2 linked regions of the Macaca mulatta genome follow. The protein of the gene in region 2 interacts with the protein of the main gene of each other region in a biochemical or structural test. Links are inferred from orthologs where the notes say so. Each region holds a gene or a part of one and is shown on either strand. Other genes may lie near its edges.

The links. The genes of interacting proteins can lie anywhere in the genome.
Region 1: the proteins of TERT (region 2) and CIB1 form a complex in vitro, tested with the Homo sapiens proteins (2 studies listed by BioGRID). The link is inferred for Macaca mulatta from reciprocal best matches to the Homo sapiens genes TERT and CIB1.

The regions. Positions count from the first base shown.
Region 1 is NC_133412.1:80,060,774-80,064,516, reverse strand, and holds the start of CIB1 (calcium and integrin-binding protein 1), read left to right. Parts: upstream 1-1,491; 5' UTR 1,492-1,544; coding exon 1,545-1,595; intron 1,596-1,725; coding exon 1,726-1,760; intron 1,761-2,987; coding exon 2,988-3,216; intron 3,217-3,743. UniProt on the Homo sapiens protein: Calcium-binding protein that plays a role in the regulation of numerous cellular processes, such as cell differentiation, cell division, cell proliferation, cell migration, thrombosis, angiogenesis, cardiac hypertrophy and apoptosis.
Region 2 is NC_133411.1:2,391,901-2,395,543, forward strand, and holds part of TERT (telomerase reverse transcriptase), read right to left. Parts: intron 2,953-3,643; coding exon 2,857-2,952; intron 1,923-2,856; coding exon 1,837-1,922; intron 493-1,836; coding exon 379-492; intron 1-378. UniProt on the Homo sapiens protein: Telomerase is a ribonucleoprotein enzyme essential for the replication of chromosome termini in most eukaryotes. Active in progenitor and cancer cells. Inactive, or very low activity, in normal somatic cells.

The sequences.
Region 1 (3,743 bases), on a different chromosome or scaffold from region 2:
TACCACGCCTGGTTAATTTTTGTATTTTTAGTAGAGACGGGGTATTGCCATGTTGGCCATGCTGGTCTTGAACTCCTGGCCTCAAGTGATCCGCCTGCTTCAGCCTCCCAAAGTGCTGAGATTACAGGCATGAGCCACCACGCCTGGCCTTGAATATTTCTACAGTGATGGAATGTACATATTAATACAGTGGGTCTTATTAAACACATGCTGCCAAGGAGAAGCAATGGGTATTCTTCAAGTGTAAAGTAGAATCCTAGGCAGTCTAGGGAGTCAGGAAAGGCTTCCCTGAGGATAAGATGGAAGAGGGACTGAGGGCCCAACGTGGCTGAAACACAGAGAGCCAATAGGAGCAAGTCCAGTTACAGAGGGCCAGGATTTGGGTTTTTAACCATTTAATGATTATAAACTGAGATTAACATGCTCAGATTTCGACTTTACAAAGATCAGCAAGTATAATGGATTGGAAGGATCAAGAATTAATCCCAGCCTGACCAACAACCTCCACTTCCTCCTCCCAGCAGTTTGGAATCCTTACCTTTTGCAGTAGTATACGTTCATTCATTTATTATGCATTCGATAATATTTACTGAAAGCCTACTATGTGCCAAACATTGTTCTAGAGGTTAAGAGGGGACAAGAGCAAACGGGTCAGCAGCCTAGGGGTGAGATGGGGTCAAAAGGACAGCAGGTCAGCTGGAATGAAGACAAGACCAGTGGAGCGCCTTTAAAGGTGCCTTGGACTGGACCGATCACCTTCTAAATGCCTGAGCCCGGAAAAATCACTAAAACCCTTTGGACTTACGTATTTCCATCTTTGTAAAATGGGAACCTACCTTGCAAGGGATGTTGCAACAATCGAAGAAAACTATGCACAGTGCTTCACATCCAGTGGGTCCTCAGTAAATAGCCTAAGAATGAAGCAAGGTTATGGTTACTTCTGGAAGAGGTGGCTTGGGGGCTGCGACAGGTGCAGCGATTGCCTGATGATAACATCTAGAAAAGCCCTTGCTGGGCAGAGGGGCAGGCGACGACCTCGGCCACTCAGCGAGTCTCCAGGTTTCCCGGAAACGCTAGCTCCAGTGACTTCTCAGACGCTCCTACGGGACCGCACCCAGGGCAGCCGCCGCCACCACCTACTGCAGCCGAAGCGGATGGACCTCGCGACTTACCCTGCAGCCGCTGCCGGGGCCACAGCGAGGTCACGACTCCCGTGACGCATACGCAGCCAGCACGCACGCGCGCGGCGTGGCCCGCCCCCGCCCACCCCGGAGGCGGGGCCGTGAGTCCTGGGCTCCGCCCCGGAGCGTCGGGCCCCTCCCAGGGCCCCGCCTCCCGCTCGCCAGGGACCGGTCGCAGCCGGCGGCTCGCCTGCCAAACCCGGCTGGGAACGCCTGGGCGCTTTTAGGACGGGGCGGGCCCGGGGGTGGTGGCCCCAGGAGCGGTTGCCGCGGGGACCGGGCAGTGACGCGGCCCAAGGGCGGAAGTGAGAAAGTTGTCTGCGTCTCTAGGCGAGTTGGCGGAGCTGTGCGCGCGGCGGGGAGATGGGGGGCTCGGGCAGTCGCCTGTCCAAGGAGCTGCTGGCCGAGTACCAGGTGCGCGGGACGCCTGGCCCTAGGGAGCTCGTGTGCCGGCCTGTTCCCCGGAGCCGGGTCCGGAGCGGGCTGCGGGGCGGCCGCGGCCTCCCAGCGGTCCGCTAATGCCAGCTCTCGCTTTGCCTTCCAGGACTTGACGTTCCTGACGAAGCAGGAGATCCTCTTGTAAGTGCTGCCTCCGACCCCGGGATCCTCTAGAGACAGCTTCGGGGGCGCCGTCCCAAGGGAGGGGCGGGGGCTGGCCTGAGGTCTGCAGAGGACCGGGAGCTGGAGGCCAGGAGACCCAGCCCGGGCTGCGCCCTTCTCCCGGCACGCCCTCCCCGCCCTCGCCTGAGGCCCCAGCGTGGCACCGCGGAGCCACCTCACAGCCTCCAGGAAAAGTTAGGCTCTCTGACCCTGAGCTCCACTAGCTTCAGCACTGCCGAACTTCCTGCCCCAGTCCGGCAGGGGCCGACCTTGCCCGGTGGCTAAACCACAGAAGCCTTGGGGAGCCTGGCTCTTTCTCCCAACTTTACCTGAATAATACAGTAACCGTTATCGCTTTCTGAGCACTCACCATGTGCCAGGGACTGTGCTACATTGTTGCCTGCATTACCTAATTTAATCTTTAGGAGAGAGGTATTGGACAATGAAACAGGTTCAGAAAGGTTTGGTAACTGCTTAAGACAACACTCTTGAGTAAATGGATTTGAACTTGGGCTGGAAGCCCTTTTGCCAGATTTTATGCAGGCCAGGGCACTTTGAGTGAGGAGGTGCCTGGGCTTCCTGCGGCAATGGGAAGGAGGCGGAGGCCGAGGAGGAGGACAGTTCAGGGTGGCTGCTAAAAAGGAGGCTTTGAGGGCAAGAGATCCCTGGAGTGATGGTGAGAATGAGATTTTTGGTTGTGCTCTTTTCTCCCTGTTTTTGTTTTTTTTTTTTCTCTCTCTCTCTTTTTTGAGACAGAGTCTCGCTCTGTCACCCAGGCTGGAGTGCTGGGGCACGATCTCGGCTCACTGCAGCCTCTGCCTCTTTGTTCAAGTGATTCTCCTGCCTCAGCCTCCTGAGTAGCTGGGATTACAGGCAACTGCCACCATGCCCAGCTAATTTTTGTATTTTTAGTAGAAAAGGGGTTTCACCATGTTGCTCAGACTGGTCTCAGACTCCTGACCTCAAATGCTCCCACCGCCTTGGACTCCCAAAGTGCTGGGGTTACAGGTGTGAGCCACCATGCATGGCCAGTTCTTTAGGGCCAACTTCTGGCCTTTTCCCCAACTCTTCATCCCTCAGGGATCTCTAGAATCAGTGCCCAGCACATAGTAGATGCTCAGTAAATACTTATTGCAAGAAAAGACTCCTAGGCTGTACTGCCTTGTGACATGTCCTTTTGCTTACTGTTGCCTGATGACTCGGAAGTTCTGTGCATGTGGTTTTAGCTCCTCACCTGGTTGATAATGAGCAGCAGGCAAGGAGTGGGAATGAACACACAGGGAAACCAATCGCTGAGAACACCGACAGTTCCCCTCTCTCTACCAGAGCCCACAGGCGGTTTTGTGAGCTGCTTCCCCAGGAGCAGCGGAGCGTGGAGCAGTCACTTCTGGCACAAGTGCCCTTCGAGCAGATTCTCAGCCTTCCAGAGCTCAAGGTGCAAGCGCTTCCCCTGGTTGACACCTCTCCCACCACTCCCTCCCTGCTAGACCCCCTAACTCCATCTGCCACTAGCTTTGAGATCATGGGGTCACTGGGCCCCATTCTGGTCATTTTTCTGCTTAGTTCTAATTTTCTGGGGACAAGGACTTGACCAAAATCACCTGGCAGAATTATCTAGAATGGTGCTTTTCAAATGGGGATTCTAGAACATAATCTTGGAAGTTCAGAGAAGTTTTATCCCTTAAGAGGAGTTGAGTTACCTTATTAAAGTTTGAGGAACACTGTTCTAGAGGCTGATTGCCACTCCGTGGGGCTGCTGCGAAATATCTGTGCAAAAGGCCTGGCCCAGTGCCTGTAACACAATAGTTGTTCAATTAAATATTTGTGTTTTAAAATAACCAGCCCATCTCGTTCCCTTTGTTTAGGATGACTTCTTCCCTCTCTGCCCACACTTATGTTGTATGTGACCTGCCTTTGGGTTAAACACTTGACTCCCAGGAAGCCATATCAGTCCTTTCCCTA
Region 2 (3,643 bases):
CTGTTGAGGGCCTGCCGGGAGATGCGGAGCCTCAGGCTGCACCAGCCTGTGTCCCCGACGACCCTAAAGGAACCCGGGTGGATGTGATGGAAGCTGGTGTGCTTCCTCGGTGTTGAATTCACACGTGCGTCATGCAGGGCAGTGGCCCTCCTGCCTGCTGAGCCCCGAGGCCTCTGGACATGGCCGCTGGACAGAGTCCGCAGTCCTCGGGCTGTGCAACCCCTCCTGTGTGGCTTCACACCAAGGAGGGGCTGCAACCTTGTCTGGTTCCTCAAGACAGAGCAGTCATGATATCCAGAGCACCAGGAATATTAATACTGAACACGTTAAAAGCAAATCGTCCCCCACCCAAGACCCCTGGGAAAGAGGAGGCCTCACCCGTCCCGCCGCATCCCTGCAAACAGCTTGTTCTCCATGTCGCCATAGCACAGGCTGCAGAGCAGCGTGGACAGGATGGAGCCCTGCGGGATCCCCTGGCACTGGACGTAGGACCTGGGGCGGGAAGACGCAGGTAAGCGATGGGTGGGGCATGTGTGGACATGTGTACACTCACACAGAACCACACACAGACCCTCATACACATCACCTCCACACACAACAACACGTCTACCATTCAGCCGGCAAACACCTCACAAACACACCAGACGAGACCTCTGAACACAATCCCCGCGCCCACTCTCACTGCGAACTGGGGCGGCTTAGCGCAGATCCAGCCACAGCTGTGACCACATCCTTGTTCTCAACCATCAAGGCTTTCTTTCATTAAGGTTTCTTAAATCTTCGAGTTTATTCACAGAACCAGACACTTGACCCAGAAGGAATGCTTAACTGGACTCCTTTCTTTTCAAGGAATTTATCCACGGTGAAAGTTCACAGCCCTACATGTAGCAGCTGTGTGCCAACCCATACAGCCTTGCCCCTGGTTTCACCACAACCAACGAGACGCAGACACTCTCCAAACAAACAAGGACGCCAAGGGTGCGTTTTCAGACAAACAGTGAGAGCAGAATAGCCCCTTGGAACCTGAAGGTGCACATAGAAGGCATGGCTGCCACGTGACCCTCGGCCATCCCCAGAGCCCATAGGATGCCCACTCCTGTTGCTAAGAGACACTTGCAGCCTATTGCAAAAACAAGACCTGTTATTTTCGGGAAGTGCTGTAGGCGGTCACCTTAAAAAGAAGCTTTCCGGCCAGGCGTGGTGGCTCACGCCTGTAATCCCAGCACTTTGGGAGGCCAAGGTGGGTGGATCACCTGAGGTCAGGAGTTTGAGCTATCCCAGGCCACCTGCCCCATGGCCAGCACAGAGCCCCCGAGAGGAGCAAACTACACGGTCAACCCCCCACTTTCCAGATGGGAAATCTAGCCACAGAGAGAAGAGCCCGTGCCCTTGCGGGAGTCACGCGACAGGGACGGGAATGAGAATCAGATAAAATCCTCTTGTATATGGAGAGAGAGATACAGCGTGTGACAGCGGGGTGTCCAGCGTCAGTAGTAACTTGGAGCTGACAAGCTGCAGGCTCAAACGCTCAGCCGCACCCCCAACCCAGACACACCCCACACCCCTCGTCCTCCGCACAGGAGCAAGTCCACGCCCCGCTTGCCATTTCCAGGCCTCACGTAGCATCTGCTCTGCTCCAGCAGCTGCAAGCTGGGCCATGTTCCCGGGGCCTTGGGCACCTGCAGCCCAGGAGCCGGAGGGGTGGGGGGCCAGAAAAGGAGACCCTGGTGGCCCCGGGAGAAGGGCAGTGGGGAAGGGGCAGGGCAGAGGTGAGCAGAAGCCCTGCCAGTCCGCCCACCCACCCGCTGGGCAATGGCACCCGGCCACCCGACTCACTTGCCCCCGATGCGCACGGCGTGGTGGCACACGAAGCGTAGGAAGACGTCAAAGAGGCCACTGCTGGTCTCGTTCAGGGAGGAACTCTGGGAAAGCAGAAGACAGACACACGAGAGTGAGCCGGTGGGTACCGAGATAGGCAGGACCACGTGGCCAAGACCCTCCATCCCTTCTGGGGTCGGTGTTCGTGATGAAGTGTGGGCTGGGCTGGAATGCAGGGCCATCGTGGGCTGGCCGGGCCGAGTCTGCAGACACACAGGGGCTTAGGCAGAGTGTGTGACACAGAACATCCCCTCTGAGCCACCTGTGTGTCCAGCTGGGCTCAGACCCACACAGCCCACCGTGGCCCAGATGGCACACGTGATCCATAAGTTGCTGCCCGGCTGCCGGGCACTGGGTCTGGGTCCCAGGAGCCCACGCCACCCCCACCCCCACTCTGGGAGCCAAGGAAGTTTGCCCAGAGGTCTCTCAGCCTCACTCAGTGGACACGACTGTCCCTTAAAGTGGAACAAGCGTTAAACGGGCATCTGCAAAGAGCCACAGGGTCACGTGAACAGACCCAGCACTGAGGGGCCAGCTCAGCGGAACGCGGCTCAAACACGGCCTGTCCTTCTAAGAAGGGGCACACATTTCCCTTGGCCTCGCACCCAGCACTGAGGGGCCAGCTCGGTGGGATGCGGCTCAAACACGGCCTGCCCTCCTAAAGGAGGGGGACACCTTTCCTTTGGCCTCAAGATCAAAATTGCCAGAGAAGACGTTTAGCAAATCATGAATAAAGTCACTGCGGGGCTGGAGAGAGGCCAAGTGGTCAAACGTGAGCAGGTGCCTGAATGCAGCAGCTGTCACAGCCCGGCCCAGCTTAGATTCCGCCAAGGCACACAGCTCCTCATGCCCCCACCACAGCTCATTCCCCCGACCGCCCCCCAGGGCCAACAGTCTGCCTGGTGATGAGCCCAGTGATGCCCCAGGTGAGGACCCACTGCTGGGGTCCATGCCCAACCCTGGGGGCAGTGCTCAGACCTGCTCAATGACGACGGCATCTCTCAGCGGGCTGGTCTCCTGCAGGTGAGCCACGAACTGTCGCATGTACGGCTGGAGGTCCGTCAAGGTAGAGACCTGCCGGCAGAGGAGAGGGCATGAGCCACAAATGTGGCCCACCCTGGCCAGAGCTGGGCACTTGTTTCTTCCAACCAGGACACGTGGACCTGAAGCCAAGCCCGATGGCAGGAGGAAGCCCAGGGAGCCCCCGGGGAGCTTGGGAAAGGGGAGCTGAGGGGCCGGGGACACAAAGCAGCTACAGACACACCTGGGACTCCACCTGCAGCCACCACACATCAGACCCCCGTGACCGACCGCCATCCACAATCACCACATGTCAGACCCCCACGACCGTCCCACGACCGTCCGCCACCCACAGTCACCACACATCAGACCCCACAACCAACCGCCATCCACAGTCACCACACATCAGACCCCATGACTGACCACCATCCACAGTCACCACACATCAGAACCCCGTGACCGACCGCCATCCACAGTCACCACACATCAGACCCCACAACCGACTGCCATCCACAGTCACCACACATCAGACCCCCACAACCGTCCCACGACCGTCCACCACCTAGTCACCACACATCAGACCCCACAACCGACTGCCATCCACAGTCACCACATGTCAGACCCCATGACCGACCGCCATCCACAGTCACCACACATCAGACCCCACGACCGACCGCCATCCACAGTCACCACACATCAGACCCCACGACCGACCGCCATCCACAGTCACCACACATCAGACCCC